Linked DNA regions of Cricetulus griseus. The protein of the gene in region 7 interacts with the protein of the main gene of each other region in a pairwise test. Links are inferred from orthologs where the notes say so. Each region holds a gene or a part of one and is shown on either strand. Other genes may lie near its edges.

Region 1 (3,500 bases), about 81 Mb from region 7:
AATCTACCAACTGAGCTGTTATTTCTTTTTCTTTTTAATTTATTTATTATGTATACAGTGTTCTGCCCAGGCCAGAAGAGGACACCAGGTAGAATTACAAATGGTTGTGTGTCACCATGTGGTTGCTGGGAATAGAACTCAGGATCTCTGGAAGAGCAGCCAGTGCTCTTAACCTCTGAGCCATCTCTCCAGCCCCCTGAGCTTTATTTCTATCCCTAAATACAGCATGACTTTTTTTCCCTCTTCTGGTAATAGGATTTGAACCCTGGATTTGATACAAGAGGCAAATGCTTTACTACTTAGTCGTATCTTCTGCTGTTTTATTTTATTATCATTATTACAAAAAAAAAAATAGCAGGGCAGTGGTGGCACACGCCTTTAATCCCAGCACTTGGGAGGCAGAGGCAGGCGGATCTCTGTGAGTTCCAGGCCAGCCCGGTCTCCAGAGTAGACTCCAAAGCTACACAGAGAAACCCTGTCTCGAAAAACCAAAAAAAAAAAAAAAACCACAAAAAACTATGAGGCTATCCTGGTCTATGATACATGTTCCAGGACAGCTAGGACTACATAGAGAAAACCCTGTCTCAATTACCCTCTCCCATACAAAAAAAAAAAAAAAAAACTTTAAAAAATTTCATGTACACCTTTAATCTGCACTTAGGAGGCAGAGACAGGTGGATCTCAGTGAGTTTGAGGCCAGCCTGGTCTACAAAGCAAATTACAGGACAGTAAGGACTGTTACACACAGAAGCTGTCTTGAAACCACGTCCCCCCCCAAAAAAAAACCAAAAAACCAAAAAAACAAAAAAAAAAAAACCCAAAACACAAAAAACATGTGTTTGGATGCCTTGTCTACATGCATGTCTGTATACTGAGTTATCTGCCTGATATCCATAGAGGCCAGAACCTCTTCTGGTTCTGAAACCCATGAAATTGGAGTCACATACAGTTATGAGTCACTGTATGGCTCTTGGATATTGAACCCAGGTCTTTTAGAAGAGCAGCAAGAACTATTAATCTCTCTTTTTTCGAGACAAAGTTTCTATGGCTATCCTGGAACTCACTCTGTAGACCAGGCTGGCCTTAAACTCATAGAGATCCACCTGCCTCTGCCTCCCAAGTGCTGGGATTACAGGCGTGCGCCACCACTGCCTAACAGAACTATTAATCTCTGAGCCATCTCTCCATATTAATATTTTGAGTGTACTATGTATAGGAATGTATGGTATGTGTACATGATGGTGAAGCTCAGAGGACTTTTGGGAATTGCTTTTCTCCTTCACCATATGGGAACTGGAGATTAAGCTAGCTTCATCTCAGGTCTTTACAGCATCAAACTTCCCTTAATCATTTATCACTGACTCCAATAGGATTTAACAAGAATCCTATTGGGCTGACTGTAAAATAGGATTCCTAAGCATTAGGAAATAAAGAAATTTGTTTTATAAGCTTAATTTTGTGTTTAAAACATGATTTTCCCTGGCAATGTGTTAAAGCACTTTCCTAGCATATGCATGGGCTTCATCTCTAGTATCACTAAATCAAAAACAAAACCTCAACAAAAATTGATTTTGTAAGCCCAGCACTTAAGATTCTGAGGCAAGAGGATCACAAGTCTGAGACAGTCTAGGCCTCACAGTGAATCAGGCAGCATAGCCAGAGCATCTCAAAACACAAACATAGACACACCCGGATTACCTTTATGTTTCAGGATTATGTGATCACACCATGAACCATGAGATTGTGTTATTTAAATAAAATCAACCATAGGTCAAGAACAAGCAACTAGTTGACTGGAAGTAACCATAGAGAGTGAGGGAAAGTTGGGAGGTTGGAGAGAAAGGCACAAGAAGTAGAAGGGAGGGACATCCAGTTGGAGGAATTTTTGTTTCAGACAGGATAGGGGAAAAACAGAGAAGGAAGCAGCTGGGTGCTTTCTCTGCCTCTCTGAGCAAGTGGGTTTTCACTCCAGCATCTGGCTCCCAAGTCTTTACTGATAAAATAGAACGATAGAGACTTGGTTAAAAACAACACCTTTTGTTGCAGATCTGCAAACATCTGGCTTCTTCTCAGCACTTTTGCTATAGGGATAGGGCACTGGAAAGAAGACTTCCTTTACAGGAAAAAGTGGGATTCAGAACCTTTTATTGTCAGACTGGAACTTAATCATGTGGATTCTGTCCTTTTTTAAAAAATTTATTATTTATTATGTATACAGTGTTCTGCCTGCATGTATCCCTGCAGGCCAGAGGAGGGCATCGGATCTCATTACAGATGGTTGTAAACCACCTTGTGGTTGCTGGGAATTGAACTCAGGACCTCTGGAAGAGCAGCCAGTGCACTTAACCTCTGAGCCATATCTCCAGCCTGATTCTGTCCTGGTTTGACTAATTGTTCCCTTTTCCTCTGCTGGGGATTGAACCTAGGCCCTTGTGCATACTAAGCAAGCATTTATCACTGACCAATATCCCTAGTCTCCTTTGTGAGAATTAGCTAATTTTGTAGCTCAGAGTGGCCTTGAACTAGCAATCCTCTTACCTCAGTCTACTGAGTGGCTGGGAACACAGCCTGGCTTAGCAGGTGTGGCAGACACTTACTTTCTAATGAAGACAGGCTTAAGTCGAGGCTCCATTTCATCTTCACTGTCTGTGTACTCCTCATATTCAGACTCTGACTCCGACTCCTCCCCAGAGCGCCCTTCATCTTCTAATTCCATGACTTCCATCTCTTCATTTTTCCTCTCCTGTGCTCGCTGACGCATCATGCCACGGCGCCGCTCTATTTCCTATATCAAGGCATACAGCTTAGCCAGTTATTCAAATGGCCTGTGCGTCAAGCTTGTTTTCTTGGTGATAATGACCAAATTCAGGGCTTTGTGCATAGCAAGTCTAGTCCTACTACTGAGCCCTCAGCATAGCTTTGATTTTGTCTTCAACAGGTTCAAGAAATTTTGACACGGTTAAGCATAATTCAGCATGATTTCATCTTCAGTCTTTATTTTTACTTACTTACTTAATTAATTAATTTATTTATTTGCTTTTTCGAGACAAGGTTTCTCTGTGGCTTTGGAGGCTGTCCTGGAACTAGCTCTTATAGACCAGGCTGGTCTCGAATTCACAGAAAAGTGTCTCTGAATGGACATTTGTTTGAAAGGCTTATTCATCATGGTCAAAGAGATCTGCCTGCCTCTGCCTCATTAGTACTGGGGGTTAAAGGTGTGTGCCACCACTGCCTGGCCTCATTTTCAGTTTCAACCCCAACAAACAGGAATCACAATCAGAGTTCAGACAGAAGTAGCAAATTTTGTACATTTATAGCCTCAACAAATCAGCACTGTTCTCAATTTTTTTCTTGTATCCTGGGGGAAAGAATTCCATATTATTCCTTTTACCTCATCATCAATTTCTTCCTCTTCTTCTTCGCTGCTATCTTCTCGTTCCATGCGCCAGGCATCTCCTTCTACTTCTGAATCACTTTCTCCTACCACTTCAGGTTCTACT
Region 2 (3,500 bases), on a different chromosome or scaffold from region 7:
TCCTTCACCTGTATTTTCTCGCTTTACTTATGCTTACAGATATGTAGCAAAATATTTAGTCTGGGCTGCTTTGCTTATTTACTCTTTTTTTTATTTTTGAAACATGATCTTTACTATATATAGTCCAGGATGGGTCTTAGAACTTACCATATTCCCTTATGACCTCAACTTTCAGCAGTCCTCCTGCCTCAGCTTCACAAGCACTGAGGTTACAAGCATGAGCCAGCATGCCCATTTTTTTCTCTCTCCTTTTGAGACAGAGTCTCATAGAGCCCAGATTGGCCTCAAACTTGCAGTGTGACCAAGGATAGCCTTGAACTCCTACCTACCCCCCACCCCCACCTCCACCTCCCAGACGCTAGAACTTCTGTTGTACAAAGCCATGCTTGTTTGAGCTGGGCCTTTTGTTGTTTAAGATCAAGTCTCTCCGTGTAGCCCTGGCTGTCCTGGAACTTGCTCTGTAGACCAGGCTGGCCTCAAACTCACAGAAATTCGTCTACCTCTGCCTCCTGAATGCTGGGAATAAAGGCATCCACCACCATGCCCAACCAGGTGGGCCTTCTTAATGAAAATTAAAGTTTAATTTTAAGAATAGGTTAACATGAGCTACAAGTTTTAAGATACAAGTTTTTAGTTCCTTTTTTTTTTTTTTTTTTTTAATCAATCTAGTTTCAAGGTTCATCTCTCCTGTGAACTTGCTTTTTTTTGAAACTGTAAGCTGATCATTTACCTAATCCGGTTGGTTAGCTATCTGTGCATCTCCTGTGTGCCAGGCCTATCTAAGATCTGACACCCAGAGAGGTGGTGGTACAACATGACACTCCAGTGCCTCAGAAACAGGAGCAGCTGGTCATGCTCAGTTGCTGGTGGGAGGCAGGAAAGCATTTTTCAACAAGAATGTCATCCATAAGTTCAATTTTGTTTCCAAACCATGCTGGAGATCAAACCCTGAATGCATGTTCAACAGGCTCTCACTGAGGCTGGTCTTGAACTCCATATCCTTCCAGTCTTGGCCTCCATTAGCATGCACTTGCATGCCCAACTCAGTTCAAACTTGGTAGAGGAATAGGAATAGCAGATATAGGAAGCAAGGAGTAGTCTTCGAGACAGAAGCAACTGTGTGTACCAGGCACGGTGGGAAAGGACTCTAAGAACGGTGGCTAGGGGAGGGAAGGGGGGAGCAGCAGGCTAGTCCTGACTGATTGTCAGTTCAGACTTAGAGCAAAGAGGAATGCTTCAGGTAGGAGTGACGTGGTCAGACACATTCAAGATGGTGACTCTGGGATAAGTAGAAGTGAGGCATGGGGAGCAGCTGGCGCCTCAGCTCCCTTCTCTGGAAAGTGAGTTGCTTAGATAAGTCATATCCTCTCTCAGCTCTATTCTAAATACAAACGATAATTTTCATGATCCTTATACAGCTACTCTCTTATACAGCTGGTTATCCGTTCATCTTAGAAAATCTGTAATTACTTTAATCCTACTATTTGGCTGTATAAAATTGAAAGTGTGCCCTAATTTTTCTTCTTCTTCTTCTTCTTCTTCTTCTTCTTCTTCTTCTTCTTCTTCTTCTTCTTCTTCTTCTTCTTCTTCCTTAGTTCTGTATCGGAACAGAACTGCCCTCACCCTGGCTTAGTGACATCGTATTCAGAGCCTGACATAGGCCAGTCGCCCTCCCTGTCCACTACTTCTGACGAGGAGCTGCCCAGCCTGGAGAGAGAGGCCCCCGGGGAAAGCAGAATGACAGCCTACGCCAAGGAGCTCATCAACAACATGTGGACTGACTTTTCTGTAGAAGATTATATGCAGTATGACTCTGACGTCCAAACATCTAAGAAAACAAGGAAGAAACAAAAACCCTGGGTGCCCAGAGTGACGGTGCCTGTGCCCTTTCAGATGACAGTTAGAGAGCAGAAGAAGAGAGAGGCTGCCCAGAAAGCAAGGCCAGATCCCCAGAGTCGACAGAAACTGCTCAAGAGGGATGACGATGACGATGTGGAGTGTAAGAAGAAATTCCGAGCCAATCCTGCCCCCTCCTGCATACTGCAACCATTTTATGAGGATATGGTCAGGCAGAATGAAGAGCGGAGGAGGACCTCCAAGGAGAAGAGCAAAGCCGCGCTCCTGGCCTCCCAGAAGCCATTTAAGTTCATTGCCAGGGAGGAAGAGAAGCAAGCAATCCGTGAAAAGCAGCTGAGAGACCTTTTTAAGTCTAAAAGGAAGACGAAGTGGTTTAAAGCCAGACCTGTGCCTCGTTCAATTTACAGGTCAGCTGCAAATGACAAGTCAAAAGATGACGAGTTCTATAGGGACATCAGGACGCAGCTGAAGGCCCGAGAACTGCTGCAGAATTCGTCCTGGCCTTGTAGGCAGGGCCAGGGACATTTCAGGGTCCCCCGAAGTCCTGGAAAGCCAAGGGGTAGACACAAGTGCAAGTGCCTGTGCCCTGATGATGGAAATTTTGCTGAGAAACAATGGAAGGAGTCCTCCTCAGAACCCAGTTTTCAGAAACACTCAACTCTTTGTAAACAGTGTGGTCTTCATGAATACTCTTGTGACTCTGCTAAAAGACAGAAGGTCTTGGCAGACCTTAGAGCAGATGAAGAAAATCTAAAAGAAATACTCTGGCCTCATCCATCTCCAAGGCTTAAGTCACCAGTAAGAAGTGCATGCACAAAGCCCAGGCCTTGCCGGTGCAGCCCTCCGATGCCTACCCTGTCTTCCCGAGGGCGGGAACAAGCCATCAGGTAAGCCCTGGGTGTGCGCTGTCTGACATGTGGTCACTGTGCTGGCATATACAGCCCTGGGGGGTTTTAGCTTGGTAAATCTGAAATTGCTGACTTCTCTGTAAGGTATTGTACAATACGGTAGGATATCATTTGCTAGGAATGCTCTCCTAAGAAACGAATGTGATTTCTGTGTTTCCTGGGCATAGACAAGTTTATACCATCAGTGTCTCTTGGATTTCCAATGACATGAGTCAGATTTTGGTCAAAAGGTTGCCTTTTTTTCTCAGCCTCTGAGTTATCCCAGGTTAAACCTTTGCTGGACAACTTTCTCCTTGGCTTAAAGGGAATTAAGCCTTAGTTTGTTGCCCTCAGGAAATCACTTGAGGAAAAGAAAATGTTGGAAGAAGAGAGAAATCGGATCCTAACTAAACAGAAGCAAAGAATGAAAGAATTGCAGAAACTCGTGGCAACCCGGGTTAAGGCTTATGACTCACATCAGGGCTTAGCCCAGATGTCTAAATCCAGAGTAAACCAGCTCAGGTATCTCGGGAGAGTCCTGAACGAAAACGTTGACTTCCAAACTCAGCCTCTTCTCTTCCCTCCCCTCCCCTCCCCTCTCTTCCCCTCCTCTCCTCTCCCCTTCCCTTCCCTTCCCTTTCCTTGCTTTTCCTTCCTTCCTTTTTAGCCAGTGAATACCTAGATATGAAAATGGTGTGGCAGCTTTATGTATTTATGTATTTAAATAATTTTTGTTTTTACTCAACTTTTCATACA
Region 3 (3,931 bases), on a different chromosome or scaffold from region 7:
GGCATACTGGAAGCTCTGAGGGTTTGTCTGTGATGTGTAGCATGAGTGTATTTGGCTAGCTGGGCAGGGAAAAGAAAAAATATCAAGCAAACAATCTTAAAATTTTCCTTTAGATCTGGGTGGTTGTGGCACATGCCTTTAATCCCAGCAGTCAGGAGGCAGAGGCAAGAAGAGCTCTGTGAGTTCAAGGACAGCCTGGTCTGCAGAATGTTCTAGGCCAGCCAGGACTACAGAGTGAGACCCTTTCTAAAAAACAAAACAAAATATACATAAAACAAAACAAAACAAAACAAAACAAAACACACCTCCCTTCAGGGCTGAGAGGTGTTGCTCAGTGCTAACGCACTTAGCTAGTATGGTTGAAGCCCTGAGTTCCATCCCATCGATGCACAAAACAGACAGACAGACAAACAGTCTCCTCCCTCCCCCAAACTCCTTTGGCTTCCAAAGGTTAGTCAGAGCAAGGGTAGAAGTCACGAGTCAAAAGGCTGTATGCCGGAGGACAGAGATGAAATAACTCAAGGCACATGCATACTGGTGCCAGGCAAACATCAGTGTATAGTCCTAGAAGCCTCTATTTGGGTGTGACTAGCTCAGAAGTAAGATCTGGCAGATTCAGTCGAGGTATCACAGACAGACAAAGGTGTAAGGGGATTACAGAGCAGGTGTGTGTGGTCAGGGGTTTTATCTAGGAGCAGCTCTCCTCTTCACTGCCCTCTCCCTCCCTCAAAGACAGGGATGCCCAAGGGGTATGCCTAGTGAGGGTTCACTAGATTTGACATTAAAAACCACTCCTTTGGGGGCTGGAGAGATGCTCAGTGGTTAAGAGCACTGTTTGTTCTTCCAGAGGGCCCAGGTTCAATTCCCAGCACCCACATGGCAGCTCACAACTATTTGTAACTCCAGTTCCAGTGGATCTGACACCTTCACACCAATGCACATAAAATAAAGTTAAATAATTATTTTTAAAAACCTTTCCTTTTAATCCAGATGCTCTAGCCATACACACCCATACCATAATAATACTAACACACACACACACACACACACACACACACACACACACACACACACACACACACACAGGAGCTAAGACTCAGCCACTGAGCTCTCCTTGAGCATCAAGGAGAGATGGGGAGATCATTGAGAGTCATCCTCACTAGCCCCATCAGGGAACCTGGGGAAAGCTGTCACATGACCTCAGCTGACAGACAGCGCACTCCCACCTGTGGAGACTGAAGACAGCGGCTGAGAGGGTGTGCGGAAGGCTGGAGGAAGTTGATGAAGCAGCAGGCTTGTAGGTGAGCCCCACACCGGGCCCTTTTCCTCTTCGGTGCATCCACCTGTACTAAGGCTGCCATCAGGGCCAGGGCCAGAGTAGCAAACTGGCAGAGCCTGGTGGCTGAGAGTAAGGACTGGCTCTGGAGAAGAGAAAACCTTCATGTTACAGATAAACAAAGGTCTAGGCTGGCTGCGACATGTCAGGACAGGAGCTAGAGCTATTACCTAGCCTGCTTCAAGATCAAGTGGATACAGGTACCAGGAGAAATGATGAGAGTAGGTTTGACATCAAGGGCTAACAGAGGGAGATGGTCTCTTTGCACAGCCATCTCACCCCAGGGCCTCAGCTGTGGAGTTGCTCGGGACAGTTGTACAGTCTGTGTGCTGCAAATCTCTGGAGGCTCTCATGACACACACAGACAACTTTGTAGATGTCATTTCCACAAATTGGGCAATGGTGCAGCCCTGCTCAACCAACTTCCCCCAGACCAGCTGTCTGATGGGCAAGATGCTGAGGTCAGAGGCCAGGGTGTCTGAGACTCCAGGCTAAGGAAGTGGAGTGGTTGGACATGATGCAAAATCTGCTGCTCTGCCTTGTTTCCCATTCCTGTCTAGAGGAGAAAGAGCAGGCAGTGAGCTTGCTGCCTACACAGGTTACTAACACCAGTGCATTTCAGAGGAAGTGTGTGACAGCTGGCTCTGCTGCTGTCTGGCTCACAATCATCCGTTATGAGATCTGGTGCCCTCTTCTGGTGTGCAGATATACATGGAAGCAGAATGTTGTATGCATAATAAATAAATAAAATCTTTAAAAAAAAATTGAGGGGTGGGGGAAAAGAATACAGGTGAGAGGATGGCTTGCCAGGTACTGGATGGGTAAGGGGAACCCACCAGCTTGGGAAAGGGAGTGAGTCCTCACTTTCAGCCACACACAGCCCTGCCAACCAGCTTCATCTCAGGCTCCATTGTCCAGGCCCTCAGCTGATTTCTCACTGCCAGCCACATTCAGCTTTGTCTCCTTGCCCTTCCTTACCTGGCTCCTTAGCTCTGGCCTGCACCCCGAAGTTGCTGGTCCAGCCGGCAGAGCTGGCGGAGGAAGCCACGATTGGGGAATATCCATCGGCGCTCCTTCACAGTGATCACTGCCTGCTGCAAGGATAGCTGCTGGTGCAGCATGAGGTAAGCCAAGACCAGGGTGGCAGAGCGGCTCACACCCACCACACAGTGCACTAGCACCTTAGCTGAAGAAGACATTCAAGTGATTGACTCCTTCCCACCAGCCAGCCAACCCTAAGAATGGGGCCCAAACCCAAATTCCATTCCCGAATCTGTCTGGGGTATATTATGGGAACCTGTGCAAGTCCCTCAGCCTTTATGGGCCTCAGTTTCCTGATATTTCAAATGCATAGACTAATGTCTGTCTTGAACTACAGTCCCAACCCTCAACATGACTTACAAAAGCCTTTGAGGCTAGGTGGTGGTGCATGCCTTTAGTCCCTGTACCCAGGAGGCAGAGGCAGGCGGCAGACAGATCTCTGAGTTCGAGGCTAGCCTGCTCTACAGAGATTATTCAGGGACAGCCAGGGCTACACAGAAAAAACAAACAAAACAAAACAAACAAAAAAACCCAGAGGTCTCGAAAAAATAAAAAAATAAAAATAAAAACAAGCCTCTGAGGACTAGAGATAGTGACCACGCACCTCCCCTCAATCAGAACCTACTCCAAACCTCAGCTTTGCAAACCACAGGTAGACTTTCAGTGCCTTGGAGCTGTCACAGCCTCTGGCCTTTTCTCTAATCTTGGTCTGACTGGCCTTTGCTCATCCATCAAGTCACATCAGCTTTCCTCACCACTCAAGGTATCACTTGAATCACCAAGCGATTAGTCCTTGCATGACCTAGGGAAACTGCTGTAGAGGGAAATCCCCAACACAGTGGTCCTCTGGATTGGGCGTTTACATAGCTCTGCACATTTGCCCTCTAGTATCAGTAACATATCAGGATTTGTCACTGTTTGATCAGCAGGTTCTACAAGAGTCGGGGCCTTGACTTACTTAAGTCTGACTTCCTAGATTTTAGTTCTGTCCCTGACACAGGATGAATAATGACTAAGCGATGGATAAACAGATGCAGAAAAAAAGAATGTCAAAGTGCGTTGGCTATTACAAAGCAACATGAACCTTGACAAATCCCTCATCACAAAAAAATGAGGAAACAGAAACCCAGAAGACACTGGCTTGCCCAGGGTAACAGAGAAAATGGGCATGGCTGTTTTCCCAAGATGAACATACAGTAAGGACCTCAAGGCCTCTCAAGGCCTGTTGTATCCTGGGTGTTTTGTTTTGTTCATTTGGAGGTACTTTAGGGCAGATCTCTGGGTACCATGTGGTCCTTCCCCAGGGCTGCCTGTTGCAGAGTAAGAATTGTTCTGATGTTTGTGAGACCTGGCTTCCAGCTACATGGCTGCTCGTAATTCATTATGGCCTTGCAATTTGGTCTCACTTTCTCCATCTGTTTTTGTTTTTTGTTTTTTTTTTTTGTTTTTTGTTTTTTGAGATAGGGTTTTCTGTGTTGCCCTGGCTATCCTAGAACTCACTCTGTAAATCAGGATGGCCTCCAAATTGCAGAGATCCACTTGCCTCTGCCTCCC
Region 4 (4,296 bases), on a different chromosome or scaffold from region 7:
ATAGTGGCACACTCAGAATGTGGGTAAACGACAGGACCCACAGTAAAGTCCCTAGGCTAGTGGCTGTGTCAAACCCAGCCTATCCCCAGCTCTCCAAAATCCACCAGTGGCAAGTTGTGTAGTTCTTTTCCAGGAGGAGACTGTAAACTGGGGGAACTGAACAGTCCTAGCAGAGAGAACTGGAGAGTGTTCAGTGTGGTGTCTGCTTACAACAGACAAGCGGTGAGAAACAGAAAGGGTGAAAAGAGCACCTCAGACAGAAAAAGACAATGTTTGTCCGGAAGGATTAGAGGGGGCTGTCGATTGGCTCCTAAAGAGTTAAACTGGGAGCACATTTCATTTGACATTGCTTCAGATTATCACTGACCTAGGAAAACTTTCGGTGAGCTAATGGTTAGGAAATTGAGCGAGCTGGACTAGTAAAGAGAGGTGGGAGGAGGGTCTGAAAAAGGAGGAAAGAGACACAAGTTGGAGCAGCACTTGTGTGATGCCAGGGCATCAGAAATTGAGTCCATCTCTGCTTCAAGCTTTCCATCCCTCACTCAACCAGGTACCTTTCTTTTCCGCACTTAGAACAGCTTTATGCTATCATTGGGGCACAGCCCTGAAACTTCCAACCTGGCATCAGTTTTATTTTATTTTATTTTATTTTATTTTATCTTTAACAACCTATCCTCAGACAACTGAAAGGGGAAAACCATGTTGCGCTCCCGGGCGCGGGAACTGCGAGTATCGGAGTTTGAAAAGCTAGACTGCTCTAGCCTTTTCCCTTCTCTTGAATTCTCATAAGTTCTCCTGGTCCGCAAGGTCAGGGAGCAGTTCCGGAGCTCCTGCAGGTGACTCCCACCCCTACCCCCACCAAGAGCTGAAAGAGACTCGGGACGGGACACTTGGTGCTGGCTTAGCGAGACTGAGAGTGGGTGCGCGCCTGGCCATTGGGAGCCTATGGGACAGATCGAGGTGGCCCTGCTTATTAAGGCTCTGGACTCTCCACTGGCTGTCGTGGAAGCTCCCAGGGCCGGGCGGGCGTGGAGCAGCCGCTCCTGTCCTGCCAGCAGTTGGGAACTGGAAATGAGAGAGCATGGTGGCGCTGAGTGAGCGGGAGTTTTGGAGAGAGTTTGCATGTGGTCAGCTCTGGGCTCCTAAGCCAGCCCCCAGCTCACATTACACTCTATTTATAACCTCTCTGAGCCATTTCCCCCCCGTGAAAGCAGTTCTCTGGGACCACCTTCTTTTGGCTTCCACCTCTCCCACATTTGACATCTGAGCAGCTGCGAGGGAAGCTCCTCCAGGTCCCAGTGTTTATATGTGCAGGAGACTGGCCGCTAAGGCTCTGGACTGGGATTAGCCAGCTCTGCTCAAAGGCGCGACTCTTAGGGAGTGTGTGAGTGTGGGGGGAAAAAAGAGTTCTAGGATTTCCAGTGAAAAGTCACAGAGCTTGGTGGCCTTTGGGACCATCGTGAAGTCTTCTGCCTGGAAGTCCAGACTTGCATGCCATGGAACACCCCCTCTTTGGCTGCCTGCGCAGCCCGCACGCCACAGCACAAGGCTTGCACCCTTTCTCGCAGTCTTCTCTGGCCCTCCATGGAAGATCTGACCACATGTCCTACCCCGAACTCTCCACATCTTCCTCGTCTTGCATAATCGCGGGATACCCCAACGAGGAGAGCATGTTTGCCAGCCAGCATCACAGGGGGCACCACCACCACCACCATCACCACCATCACCACCACCAGCAGCAGCAGCACCAGGCTCTGCAGAGCAACTGGCACCTCCCGCAGATGTCCTCCCCGCCTAGCGCGGCTCGGCACAGCCTGTGCCTGCAGCCCGACTCGGGAGGGCCTCCGGAGCTGGGGAACAGCCCTCCGGTCCTGTGTTCCAACTCATCCAGTCTGGGTTCCAGCACCCCGACCGGGGCCGCGTGCGCACCAGGGGACTATGGCCGCCAAGCGCTGTCACCCGCGGATGTAGAAAAGAGAAGTGGCAGCAAGAGGAAAAGCGACAGCTCAGGTGAGTGCGGGCAGAGCACCTCTAAGGAGAGTGTTCCCTGGGCTGGGAAGGGGCAGGGATTTGCGAGAAGGTTCTCACAGACAAACTAAGGAATACCTAGCTCTTCCAGTCTCAGTGGCCTGGCCGAATTCGTCCTTGCAGCTTCGGCCCTGTAATTTGGGAGCACGTGTTTCGCTGAGGTTAATATATCTACGTCCAGCCCCTTCAAAGCCCTACAAGACCATAAACTAGTTTTCCAGCGGCGGTGAAAAAAGAGCGAGTGACAGTATGCGAAATCGGTTAAGGAGCATGGCGCTCCATCCACGAGTTGGGAGGGGTGTGAGCCTTGGGATGTTGCATCGGCTGGGCGTTCATGCCTGTGTGCATGCATGCGCTTCTTGGTTTTTCCCTTACAATTTCCCAATTCTGAACAGCTCGAGTTTTCCCATCCTTAACTGGATTTCTAGACTATTGCTCAATATCTTGAACTTTAACTGGGATTTGACAAAATACTCGAAAGAAAAGTTTTATTTTTTTCTTTTTTTAACGTTTCGCTTTCAGAGTTCCGTAAATAGCATTCTACTTAAAATAGTAATAATTTTAAAAAGCATTTAACTTATTTGCCGAAAAAGGCACTATCTAGAAATCTAGAAGTATTCAAGAAATACATCTAAAAATCGTGAATAAATAAATGGATGAGGATTTGAAGAAAGGTCATTCTTGATTAGACTCAGGTGAGGCTATCCTATGGGAAAAAAACAAACAAAAACAAAACAAACAAAAAAATCCCTGAACTTCGAAAGTGGAAAGTAAAAGCCTTCCTTGTTTGAGTAGAGTTTTGAGATGCTCCGGAGAGCACAAGAGCAGCTCGGACAGTGGTGGGAGAAGATGCAGCAGAGTGAACAGCGAAAGTGTGGATTACTTGAGCAGCTAAAGCAAAGGTTTCTCCCCAGTGGTTTCCAGGGCCTGAAAGTTCAGTAGCAAGTGCATTGTGGCAGTTCAGAGAAACTGAGTTTCTAGACAGCACATAACGCCCTTAGCTATAGTTCTCATTATTAAGATGTTTCTCTTTTTCTTCTCCTTCTTCATCCCCTCCTCCTCCTCCTTTTTAATTGCATCTTGCTCTGAAGGAACATGGCAACCTGGGTACATACTTTGGAAGATGTCACTTAACTAAAAAAAAAAAAAGTTTGCATCTATTTAATCTTTTGTGTTAGTCTATGGAGATTTAGGAAATGTGAATCTGGGCATTGGAAATAATGGAAAAGAATGTAGCATGTTAGGCAATTTAGTCCAGGTGTTCTGCAGTGTATGGCAGTAACTGCTGTGTATTTTAAATCATGTTGAAAAATGACAGAAACTTTTCTTGGCCTCCTTGTGGGGTGACCCTTACCAACCTGATGGTTGAACTTTTATTTTCCTAGGTCGGGGATGACTTTTTAATGCTCCACAATGATTAGCTGTGTCTAAGCAATTTACCAGCACTGTCATTGATTTGCAGTGGTTATCTTTAACTACATAGGAAATTCTAAGCTATTGAAAAGATACCAGTGAAAACGTTAGAATGCACTGGGGTTCCCCAGGCTGGGCATTTATGAACTGGAGTGCTTGGATGGCCTCAGCAGGTTGGTAGCTACCACAGCAAGAGCCAGAAGCACTTTTTCTTTCTGCAAGGGGAAACCATGGCCAGCTTCTTAGCTGAATCAATGCCCTAAAGATTATTTATGCACTCGAAGGAGTTTTTGTTGGGCCACAGTTATTTTTAGTTGCAGAAATGGAGAGTAGGACTAAAAAATTTACATCCTTAAGTTATTTTCATAAAAACCGACTTAAAATTGACTAACAGTCGTTTCCATCACATTTACCGATGGAAAATAACCACACAGCAAAGGGAAGCTTGTTTTCATGTTGTGAATCTCATTTTAGAACATAGAAACAAGCAAACAGAATAGAAATTTGTGTCAACCGGGGGTGTAGTAACGCTTGACAAGAACGGGAAGTATGATCATTAGCAAGGATACTATCATGGGGACCAACGTAGAAAGAATGTTTCCATTGATAGGCCATCACAGGCAAGCATCAGTTGTCTTGGTACACTTTGAAAATAAAATCTATATGTTCAATCTCTGAGTTAACATCGATTAGATCATAGGTAAGTTTAACTCCAAGCCATCTATCGCCTTTTTCAGTGAACATTCAACTGAAGATCAAGTCATCTGATACTCTTGTGTAAACATTTTGACTTACTAGAGGATAAAGTAACATAGAAAATAGTTATAATACTGTTCTTTTATCAACGCATAAGCC
Region 5 (3,500 bases), on a different chromosome or scaffold from region 7:
GACGTCAGCACTGGGGTAGCAGAGGTCAGGTCTAAGCAGACGCTGTGACGTCAGCACTGGGGTAGCAGAGGTCAGGTCTAAGCAGACGCTGTGACGTCAGCACTGGGGTAGCAGAGGTCAGGTCTAAGCAGACACTGTGACATCAGCACTGGGGTAGCAGATCCAGCTAAGCGGAGCGGGTGATTAAGGCTTAGCAGATGGCTCAGTGACTGTTCTTGCCATCATTGGTCTCCAGGAGCTATGGGCCTGTAACCCATTTCAAAGTCTCTTAGACTACAGACTAAGCATCCCTCACCAGACACTTGGGGCCTGAGCACTTGGGATTTAAGATACTTTGGGATTTTACAGTATCTGTCTCTTCTGTCTGTCTGCTTATGTGTATGTGTTAGAAGTATGATATAAGCCTAAACATGAACTCTATTTCAAATGTACCTTGTATGCACAATCTGAAAGTAATTTACTTATGAAATATTTTTGTGTGGCTTGATTCCCGCTGCGCTGTCTTGGGAGATCCAATTTAGAATTTCCCAGCTGCAGCATCATGCTATACTTAAAGCTGCAGCTTGTGGAGCAGGAGGGATTTAATCAGGTGCTACACCCTGATTACAAACCTGGCGGTGGTGGCACACACCTTTAGTCCCAGCACTCGGGAGGCAGGTGGATCTCTGTGAGTTCGAGACCAGCCTGGTCTACAAGAGCTAGTTCCAGGACAGCCTCCAAAGCCACAGAGAAACCCTGTCTCAAAACAAACAAACAAACAAACAAAAAACAAAGAAAAACAAACCAAACCTGCTGTTAACACTGATCAGGTCAGGAGATGGTAAAGGCACCTGCCACCAACCTGGATGACCTGAGTTCAACACCTGGGACCCATCTGATGCAATGGTGGAAGACGACACTGACTTCCACAAGTTGTCCTCTGATCTCCATACCACACCCCCAATAAAGTATATTTTAAAATTTCAAAAACCTTAATAGCCAGGAGTGACTGCACATGCCTGAAATCCCAGTACCAGGAAGGTGAAAGCAGAGAGATTTTTAAGTTCTGGGCTAGCCTAGACTATGCAAGCAAAATCCAGTTTCAAAACAACAAATAATAAAAAAAATTACTACCTGTTTCCCAGATTGAATAAAAATCTACAATCAAAAGACTTATAAAAACAAACAAACAAAACCAAAACCAAACAAGCCAGGAGGTAATGGTACACGCCTTTAATCCCAGCACTCAGGAGGCAGAGGCAGGCGGATCTCTGTGAGTTCGAGGCCAGCCTGGTAGGGTCCAGGACAGCCAGGGTAACACAAAGAAATCCCATCTTGAAAAACCTAAACAAAACCAAACCCATATTTTGGCTATGATACAAGCCAAATACAAGTGAAATCCAAAAGATACCTAGCACCAAGAGTCTAATTATTCTTGCTATTCTGTCCTAAGATTTTCACTGAAAGAATGGTAATATTACCTAAATCTTGAGAAAAAGAAGTAGAAAAATAATCTTTTAACAATAGGAAAAATGCTTTGGACTTCCTTTAGCTTTGAATTGTGAGGAACCACTGGGGATGTCATCACCAGGGATGTCATCACCAGGGACATCACCCCACCTGAAGAAGCAGGAAGGCACTCCTGGTTTCCTTCCCATTTCTGATGACTAGTAAAGTACTGGCCAACCCCGAAGAGACCTCAAAAGTGATATAACCTATGTTGGTCAAAGCTCACAACTGGCTCAAAGTAACAGACTTTGAGAGCAAAGCCAAAGTTTACAGAGGTGTTAAGTCAGAAGCTGTAGAGGAACAGAGTGGTACCCTGTTCTAAAGGAGAACTCTGAGGAGGAAGACCGTATGTTAACATCCAATACCATACATTGCTGTAATATTAGTTGCTGACTCTAATCTTATTGTACTGGCTTAGAAATCAGACTTTCTCAAAGGTATATACACAGGAAGAGCATGACACCTACGATTTGTTCTGGAACTATCTACAGTTCCTGGCATCCACTTTGGGTCACAAAGGATTGTGTCCTGTGTATTAAGGATATTTAAATGGACTTCTCAGATGGCCAATTTAAGAGCCCACAAAATAAATAATCCTTGAACACAGGCTTACAAAATGTACTTTGGTGGCCTGGCTGGCAGTTGACAGACCTTCTATCAAACTGCCATCTTCCAATTTTCACCACTGTGAACTTGGATTCCTACATCAGGCACTTGAGTCAAGAAGGCACTCCTCCGTTTTCTCCATGAGAGCATCTACTCATTGTGGAAGAAGCCACTCCACAGCCACCCTCTTTGTGATGTCTTCTTTGACTGAGCAGCCAACAGCCACCACACTTTGCGCATGTGGTAACCATATCTCTACTTGTCTACCCCTTCCCAAAGTGCTTCTTGAGGGAACTGTCAAAACCTTAGCTTTGTCTTTTCAGGACTTAGAACAATAAAGCTTCAATAAAGGTGTGGACTGAATGTTTCTTTAGTTCCAAAGAGACAACAGGGGTGAAGACCATCACATACGGCACGGTGCCTGAGTGCAGACACAAATCCAATCTGATTCCTGCTGTGTACGCTGTGCTAGCATCTAAGATGGGTAAAATTAAAGTATAGTCAGATTATTGTAACATTTTAAGCCTTATAACACTGAATCATCTCCTCCAGGAGAAATATGAACAAGATGATGCTCATGAAGCACCAGATGGTCATCTCCAGATGCCTTCCAGGATGTGCCTGGAGATGTGCAGGGCAGTTTTCAGCTGTCGTGACTACAGACGGCAGAGCAGAGCCCTCAGGGAGAACCGGGGTTTGCATGGCGTGGGTTAGCCGCTGGGCTGAGGCTGGAGAGGAACACTTACAGCAGTGCCTGTGCCGTCCTCTGCTCTTTCCCTGGGTTTCTTCTTCTGGGGCGAGAGAAGAGAAATCATCTCCTTCTTCATCTGCTGCAGGACCTTCTTCAGCTCAGCGTTCTCCGTTAGGATCTGCTTCTGGCGGCACTCATAGTCATTCAGCAGAAGTTTGTACATTTCATCTTCATTCCTGGGGGAGAAACCACTCGTGTGAGAACACATGGCCACAGCAAACCCAGGCCACATTGCAGGCTACACGTCTGTACCTGGCTTCTGTCTTATCAGTCCTCCACGAGCCTCGTTTTCCATCAGCTCGACCCACATAATTTAAAACGTCCATGGCTACAAATGTAAGCACAAACATAATCAATCTCTACCACATGTTTAAAACCCTATCACACATGAGACACATGAGGGTCTGACTGAAGCTGACCTGGAACACAGGTCAGGGCCCTTCGAATAACCTGGGGTTTGTCAAGCTTCTCCAATGCTAACCTTACTTTTTCCCTGGCCAGAGGGAAGGAGAGACATACCCTCTAGTACTTAAGGATACAGGGATGTACTCACAGAGGGAACACTGTATCTGTATATGGTGTTACTTAAGGATACAGGGATGTACTCACAGAGGGAACACAGTATCTGTACATGACATTACTTAAGGATACAGGG
Region 6 (2,153 bases), on a different chromosome or scaffold from region 7:
CCCGACCGAGTTTCCCCAGGTAACACAAGCCCTGGCATCCCGAGTCTGGAGCTGGGATTCGAACTCTGGGGCTTGTGTTTGAGCCGAAGTCGCTTGAGCAGCTGAGCCCTGGTGGTTCCCATTCACCTTGATACTCAGTTTGTGAGAACAGGGTCGGCTGTGCAAGCAGGCTAAACTAGCCAGGGTGGGATCCTGGTCCAGTAACAGTCTGAGATGCCTGCAGCTGCTTTTTATTTATTTATTTATTTATTTATTTTCTTCCTTTTATTTGTTTTTGGTTTTGTTGTTGTTTTGGTTTGGTTTGGTTTTTAGAAACAGGGTTTCTCTGTGTATCCCTGGCTGGCCTCAAACTCACAGAGATCTGCTTGCCTCTGCCTCTGAATGCAGGGATTTTTATTTTTTAGATAGGGTAGAACTCATGGTTATCCTCCTGTTTCACACTCCCATGTTCTAAAATGTTTTTGTTTCTGTTTTTTTGCTTGTTTGTTTTCTGGATTTAAGAAGAAATATTTCTTACTGCTTTTATGGGGGGGGGGCATGCCACAATGCAGTGTGAAGTTCAGAGAACAGCTTTGGGGGTCCTCTCTTCCCTTCCTCCTCATGGGTTTCCAGGCCTGGTGGCCTCAGGGCCTGTGTTAGGGAGCCAAAGACCCTTTGACAATGCTGACTCCTTACCACCACTTCAAAGAAGAAGAAGCAACTGGGGCCCAGAGGTAGAGCAGCTGGCTTAGAATCACAGCATGAGATACCACTAGGGAACACATCAGGGCTCGCTGTGAAGAAGGTTCCTGACACCAGGACCCTTTGGGGGCCTGTCCCGCTCTGTCACCCTTAGCCCTGGGCTGCCTCAGTCTAACTAACATCTGTCTCTGTGTGGAGAATTCCCAGGTTTGAGTCTTTGGTTACTGCAGGCTGTGTGACCTTAAACTGCTCACTCACCCTGTCTGGTGCTCACTGAGTCACATGTTAAGATGGAGGGTGAGTTCTGCAGGCCTCATCAGTTGCTCACAAAGGCACCTCTGCCTCAGAGGTTGTTACATCATTGAGAATGCTGTCATAATTTCACCGTGGGGGACATTGAGGCAACCCTGCCTACCTGCCCAGGATTGCAGAAAGCCCAGGGGTGTCCTTAAATGCAGCCATTTGTGGTGTCTGGCCACTCTCAGTCAGCATCTCTAGGCTGGCCACCTACCAAGCAGGAGGCTGAGGTCAGAGGATCAGGAGTTCAGGGTCATCCTTAGTTCCTCAGTGAGTAGAAAGCTAGCCTGGACTACATAAGACCCTGTCTCAAAAACACAAACCAAAAAGGTTTTAGCTTGACCCACCAGAAGGCGGGCCAGGGGGCCTCAGCTTCCCTTGTGTGTCCTCAGCCTGAAGCTGGAGTGCGACAAGCTGGCCAGTGAGAAATCAGAGATGCAGCGGCATTACGTCATGGTAAAGTTCCCCTGGGGACCCGGGGCTGGGGTGGGTGACCCCAGACTCCCCACAGCCAAGGGTGGCCTGGCTGCCAGCCCAGGTAGTGGCCTAGGTGCCAAACCACTGGCTCGCATCCTGGGCCTGCCAGGACCCTGCTGTCCTTGGCTGCAGGAGGAGGAGGCGGCTATGGAAGCCAGCCACATTCAGCCAGCCATCCGGAAGGAAGCAAGGGGGAAGCCACCTCCAGTCCTCCTCCCTCCAGGCCATCCGGCTAGGCATTCCTTAACCCTTCCATGACCAGAGCCCTCCCAACCGTCACAGGACCTGTAATTCCATGCAGGGGAGGTTGTTGGGGGTCTTAGGGCATTCTGGCAGGGGTCTTGAAGAACAAATAGTAGCTCACTGGATGGGGGTGCACAGGAATGCTGGGATACGCAGAGAGAGTCAGGCCAGCCAGAAGGCCACACCTCTTTGATCCATGACACACCTTCTCTCCACCCACAGTACTACGAGATGTCTTATGGATTGAACATTGAGATGCATAAACAGGTGAGCCTCAGTTTCCCTCCTCCAACACCTCGCGCCCTGTGACTCATTACGGAAAATTAAGGCCACTCCTGTTAGCCCCAGAGGTATTCCCACATATGCCTTAGCCCTTTTTGGTGGGCCACAGTGGCCCACAGGCATGGCCTTAGCCCCTGTCCCCATCCCCTCCAAGTGTCCCCCCAGGTACTGAG
Region 7 (3,500 bases):
CAACCTGGTCATTCGCAAGCGGAAAGTGGGTGAGGGCTGCTCCCACACCAGCAGGGCTGTCCCTAGTCCCTCATGGTCCCCACAGACACCTGGCCAGAGGCTGCTACATGCTGTGCCGCCCTGGCCTTGTCCCCACCCAGCTCCATCTACACCTAGGATGTATGCATGAGAGCCTTCTCTCCTCTCATCATGCCTACCTGCTGCTACCCAGAGGAGGGAAGGGGAGTTCCTACCATTGTTCAGGCTGTGAGAGAGCCACAAGAGTGAAGGCAGCACCTTACTCTGCCTTGACTGAGACCTGCAGGGTGCCTTATGCAATGCCCCAGATCCCTCTGCTAGGAAGGGCCCAGAAACGAGGGCTGGGGGTCCACAGCTTGGCACCTCTACTCAGAGCAGTCATCCACTGTCCCACCTGGGCCCCAGAGCTTCTACATACCCAGACCTTGGCCTCAACTCTGTCTCTTCCATCTGTAGGTGTGCTACTGGACATCCTGCAGCGGACAGGCCACAAGGGCTATGTAGCCTTCCTTGAGAGTCTGGAACTCTATTACCCTCAATTATACAGGAAAGTCACGGGCAAGGAGCCAGCACGAGTCTTCTCCATGATCATTGGTGAGAGGCACAGAGTGGGTGGGTGCTGTGAGTGCAGTCAGGTGCCACCAGGTCCTGGCTTCTGTGATTACATCAGAATGAATGAGTCTAATACAAGCCCTGTGGTACATATCAGAGTAGTGGTACCAGTGACTACTCTCAGGTGCTCAGGGTCAGGGCTCCCTTCTCTGCCTTTCCTACTCCCATCCTAAGAACATCCACTAAGAAGAGGTGACCCCTCTATAAAGTATTAATTCCATGGGGCCCAGTTACCACCTAAGGACAGAATCCCACAGTTTCTAGAGGGGACAGAGGTGAACTGATGGAATAGCCACATCCCTATCAGTCCACATCCCTATCATTCATCTCATAAAGATCTTTATAAAGGTAGACAGAGGGCCAGGCATGCTGGCACACACCTTTAATCCCAGGGAGAAGCAGGCAGATCTCTGAGTTAGAGGCCACCCTGGACTACATAGTGAGACCTTTTCTCAGGGAAAAGAGAGAGAAAAAGAGAGAGAGAGAGAGAGAGAGAGAGAGAGGGCCAGCTGGAGTCCTGGCATGTGATAAGTTAGAATCTCAGTCAGTTCATATGTGAGGGGCAGCAAGGCAGACTGGGCCTGGTGAACAGTCCCCAGGGAGCCTTCCCACCAGCTTTCTCTCTGTGGAAGACCAGTAGTGCTCCCTCTGCCCCTCAAACTGCTGGTCTTCAAGCACATACTTCTGGACAAGGACAAGCACAGGGTCTGCAGGTGACAGCCACAGGCTCCATCTGACACTGCATGGTCCCCAGATGCATCAGGGGAGTCAGGCCTGACGCAGCTGCTGATGACAGAGGTCATGAAGCTGCAGAAGAAGGTTCAGGACCTGACGGCACTTCTGAGCTCCAAGGACGACTTCATCAAGGAGCTTCGGGTAAAGGACAGCCTCCTGCGCAAGCACCAGGAGCGTGTGCAGCGGCTCAAGGAAGAGTGTGAGCTGAGCAGCCGAGAGCTGAAGCGCTGCAAGGATGAGAACTATGACCTGGCCATGCGCCTAGCACATCTGAGTGAAGAGAAGGGCTCAGCGCTCATGCGGAACCGGGACCTGCAGCTCGAGGTGATCGCTTGTCCCACCAGCAGGGGGGTGGGGGTGGGGGTGTCTGGAGGAGGCTGCTGCTGACTGGACCACCCACAGGTGGACCGGCTCAGGCACAGCCTCATGAAGGCAGAGGATGATTGCAAGGTGGAGCGAAAACACACCCTGAAGCTCAGGCATGCTATGGAGCAGCGGCCCAGCCAGGAGCTGATGTGGGAGCTGCAGCAGGAAAAGGACTTGCTGCAGGCCCGGGTGCAGGAGCTGGAGGTCTCTGTACAGGTAGGGCTACCAGCAGTGCACACCAGGGGCACACCAGATGGTACAACTGCAATGGCCAGGCTTGTTGCCCTTTGCCACCTCCAGGAGGGCAAGCTAGACAGGAACAGCCCCTACATTCAAGTGCTGCAGGAGGACTGGCGCCAGGCACTGCAGGAGCACCAAGAGCAGGCCAACACCATCTTCTCCCTACGCAAGGACCTCCGCCAAGCTGAGGCCCTCCGGACCCGGGTGAGAGGGCAGGGCAGGCAAGCAGTACCCACTGGGTATCTGGAAGGCAGGGTCTGGAATGTAACTCACTGTCTCCCCTTCACCAATTCCTGGTGCACAGTGGTGTCATGTCCACAGCTAGGGTCATCCTTTCAGTTTACCGTGTGATCGGTGGTGGCTGAGGCCATGGTCTCAGACCAGGCAAGCCTGCTGTGGCCTGGGACTGCAGTGCCCTTCCCATCATCCCGGCTAGCCCGATCTTGAGTGCTCTGAAGGTGTTGCCTGAGTCCAGCCCAGGGCCAGGTGAGCAGTGGAGAGTGGGTGAGGCTGAGTGGTGCTTCCTGTAGTGCGTGGAGGAAAGGGAGATGTTCGAGCTGCAGTGCCTGGCCTTGCGTAAGGATGCCAAGATGTACAAGGACCGGATCGAGGCTATCCTGCAGCAGATGGAGGAAGTCTCCATTGAGCGGGACCAGGTAGGTGTTGCATTTGTGTTCAGAAGATGAGAATGAGAGGAGTGTTTGGGTGCCGGTGTAGAGGCTTTTGAAGCTGTGGTCAACTCATTACTTTATCTATCTATCTATCTATCTATCTATCTATCTATCTATCTATCTATCTATCTACCTACCTACCTATCTATTTATGCCTGAGGTAACTTGGCAATGTTGAAAGATAGAACCTGGAGCCTCTTGTACAAAGACAGGAACATCTGCCTCTCTCACAGGAAGGGCCAGTGTAGCAGGGGAGTCCCAGTGGCGCCTGTGCTGGTTAGGGGAAGGTCAGGGTTGGAAACTTCAATAGAGGAGAGGAAGTTGCTAGCTACACAGGTGGGAGGTGGAGGCCACAGTATTGGGTAGAAGAGCTGGTGGTAACCCCCTGGAATAGGCAGCAGTAGTAGTAGTGGTAGCTCATACCTGTACTCCCAGCATTTGGAGGTTGAAACAAAATAACTACTGTGAATTCAAGGCCAGCCTGGATTACACAGTGAGTTCCAAGCCAGTTTGGGCTACAATGGTAGACCCGGTCTCAAAAAACCAAAAACAACAAAAAGTAGTAGCAACTGAGCCAACTTTGGTGGCACATGCCTGTAATTCCAGGCTTTGGAGGTAGAGTCAGGAGGATCAAAAATTCAAGGCCATCCTCAGATACATAGTAAATTTTAGGCCAGTTTGGGAAATGAATGAAACTGTCTCCCAGGAAACAAAAGAAGAAGCATGGTATTCATTTTAAGAACAGCCATCAATCATGTTCTTTGTTTGTTTTTTGTTTTTTTGAGACAGTGTTTCTCTGTGTCATCTTGGCTGTCCTGGAACTCACTTTGTAGACCAGGCTGGCCTCCAACTCACAGA

The links.
Region 1: the proteins of Card9 (region 7) and Mfap1 interact in binary tests that used the Homo sapiens proteins (3 or more experiments, as listed by UniProt). The two-hybrid records come from large-scale screens. The link is inferred for Cricetulus griseus from reciprocal best matches to the Homo sapiens genes CARD9 and MFAP1.
Region 2: the proteins of Card9 (region 7) and Fam161a interact in binary tests that used the Homo sapiens proteins (3 or more experiments, as listed by UniProt). The two-hybrid records come from large-scale screens. The link is inferred for Cricetulus griseus from reciprocal best matches to the Homo sapiens genes CARD9 and FAM161A.
Region 3: the proteins of Card9 (region 7) and dual specificity protein phosphatase 13 interact in binary tests that used the Homo sapiens proteins (3 or more experiments, as listed by UniProt). The two-hybrid records come from large-scale screens. The link is inferred for Cricetulus griseus from reciprocal best matches to the Homo sapiens genes CARD9 and DUSP13B.
Region 4: the proteins of Card9 (region 7) and Meox2 interact in binary tests that used the Homo sapiens proteins (3 or more experiments, as listed by UniProt). The two-hybrid records come from large-scale screens. The link is inferred for Cricetulus griseus from reciprocal best matches to the Homo sapiens genes CARD9 and MEOX2.
Region 5: the proteins of Card9 (region 7) and Ssx2ip interact in binary tests that used the Homo sapiens proteins (3 or more experiments, as listed by UniProt). The two-hybrid records come from large-scale screens. The link is inferred for Cricetulus griseus from reciprocal best matches to the Homo sapiens genes CARD9 and SSX2IP.
Region 6: the proteins of Card9 (region 7) and Tle5 interact in binary tests that used the Homo sapiens proteins (3 or more experiments, as listed by UniProt). The two-hybrid records come from large-scale screens. The link is inferred for Cricetulus griseus from reciprocal best matches to the Homo sapiens genes CARD9 and TLE5.

Annotation. Positions count from the first base shown.
Region 1 is NC_048599.1:56,944,767-56,948,266, reverse strand, and holds part of Mfap1 (microfibrillar-associated protein 1), read right to left. Parts: coding exon 3,392-3,500; intron 2,786-3,391; coding exon 2,598-2,785; intron 1-2,597. UniProt on the Homo sapiens protein: Involved in pre-mRNA splicing as a component of the spliceosome.
Region 2 is NW_023276807.1:83,744,674-83,748,173, reverse strand, and holds part of Fam161a (protein FAM161A), read left to right. Parts: intron 1-1,595; coding exon 1,596-2,744; intron 2,745-3,098; coding exon 3,099-3,266; exon of another isoform or gene 3,267-3,500. UniProt on the Homo sapiens protein: Involved in ciliogenesis.
Region 3 is NW_023276807.1:199,229,323-199,233,253, reverse strand, and holds the start of dual specificity protein phosphatase 13, read right to left. Parts: upstream 2,801-3,931; 5' UTR 2,402-2,800; coding exon 2,315-2,401; intron 1,422-2,314; coding exon 1,227-1,421; intron 1-1,226. UniProt on the Homo sapiens protein: Dual specificity phosphatase that dephosphorylates MAPK8/JNK and MAPK14/p38, but not MAPK1/ERK2, in vitro. Exhibits intrinsic phosphatase activity towards both phospho-seryl/threonyl and -tyrosyl residues, with similar specific activities in vitro.
Region 4 is NC_048598.1:164,594,808-164,599,103, reverse strand, and holds the start of Meox2 (homeobox protein MOX-2), read left to right. Parts: upstream 1-1,496; coding exon 1,497-2,010; intron 2,011-4,296. UniProt on the Homo sapiens protein: Mesodermal transcription factor that plays a key role in somitogenesis and somitogenesis and limb muscle differentiation. Required during limb development for normal appendicular muscle formation and for the normal regulation of myogenic genes.
Region 5 is NW_023276806.1:12,740,447-12,743,946, forward strand, and holds part of Ssx2ip (afadin- and alpha-actinin-binding protein), read right to left. Parts: intron 3,174-3,500; coding exon 3,098-3,173; intron 3,022-3,097; coding exon 2,841-3,021; intron 1-2,840. UniProt on the Homo sapiens protein: Belongs to an adhesion system, which plays a role in the organization of homotypic, interneuronal and heterotypic cell-cell adherens junctions (AJs).
Region 6 is NC_048598.1:102,312,835-102,314,987, forward strand, and holds part of Tle5 (TLE family member 5), read left to right. Parts: intron 1-1,370; coding exon 1,371-1,434; intron 1,435-1,920; coding exon 1,921-1,965; intron 1,966-2,153. UniProt on the Homo sapiens protein: Transcriptional corepressor. Acts as a dominant repressor towards other family members. Inhibits NF-kappa-B-regulated gene expression. May be required for the initiation and maintenance of the differentiated state.
Region 7 is NC_048599.1:137,744,308-137,747,807, reverse strand, and holds part of Card9 (caspase recruitment domain-containing protein 9), read left to right. Parts: coding exon 1-29; intron 30-474; coding exon 475-612; intron 613-808; exon of another isoform or gene 809-1,384; coding exon 1,385-1,689; intron 1,690-1,767; coding exon 1,768-1,947; coding exon of another isoform or gene 1,948-2,031; coding exon 2,032-2,175; intron 2,176-2,501; coding exon 2,502-2,627; intron 2,628-3,500. UniProt on the Homo sapiens protein: Adapter protein that plays a key role in innate immune response against fungi by forming signaling complexes downstream of C-type lectin receptors.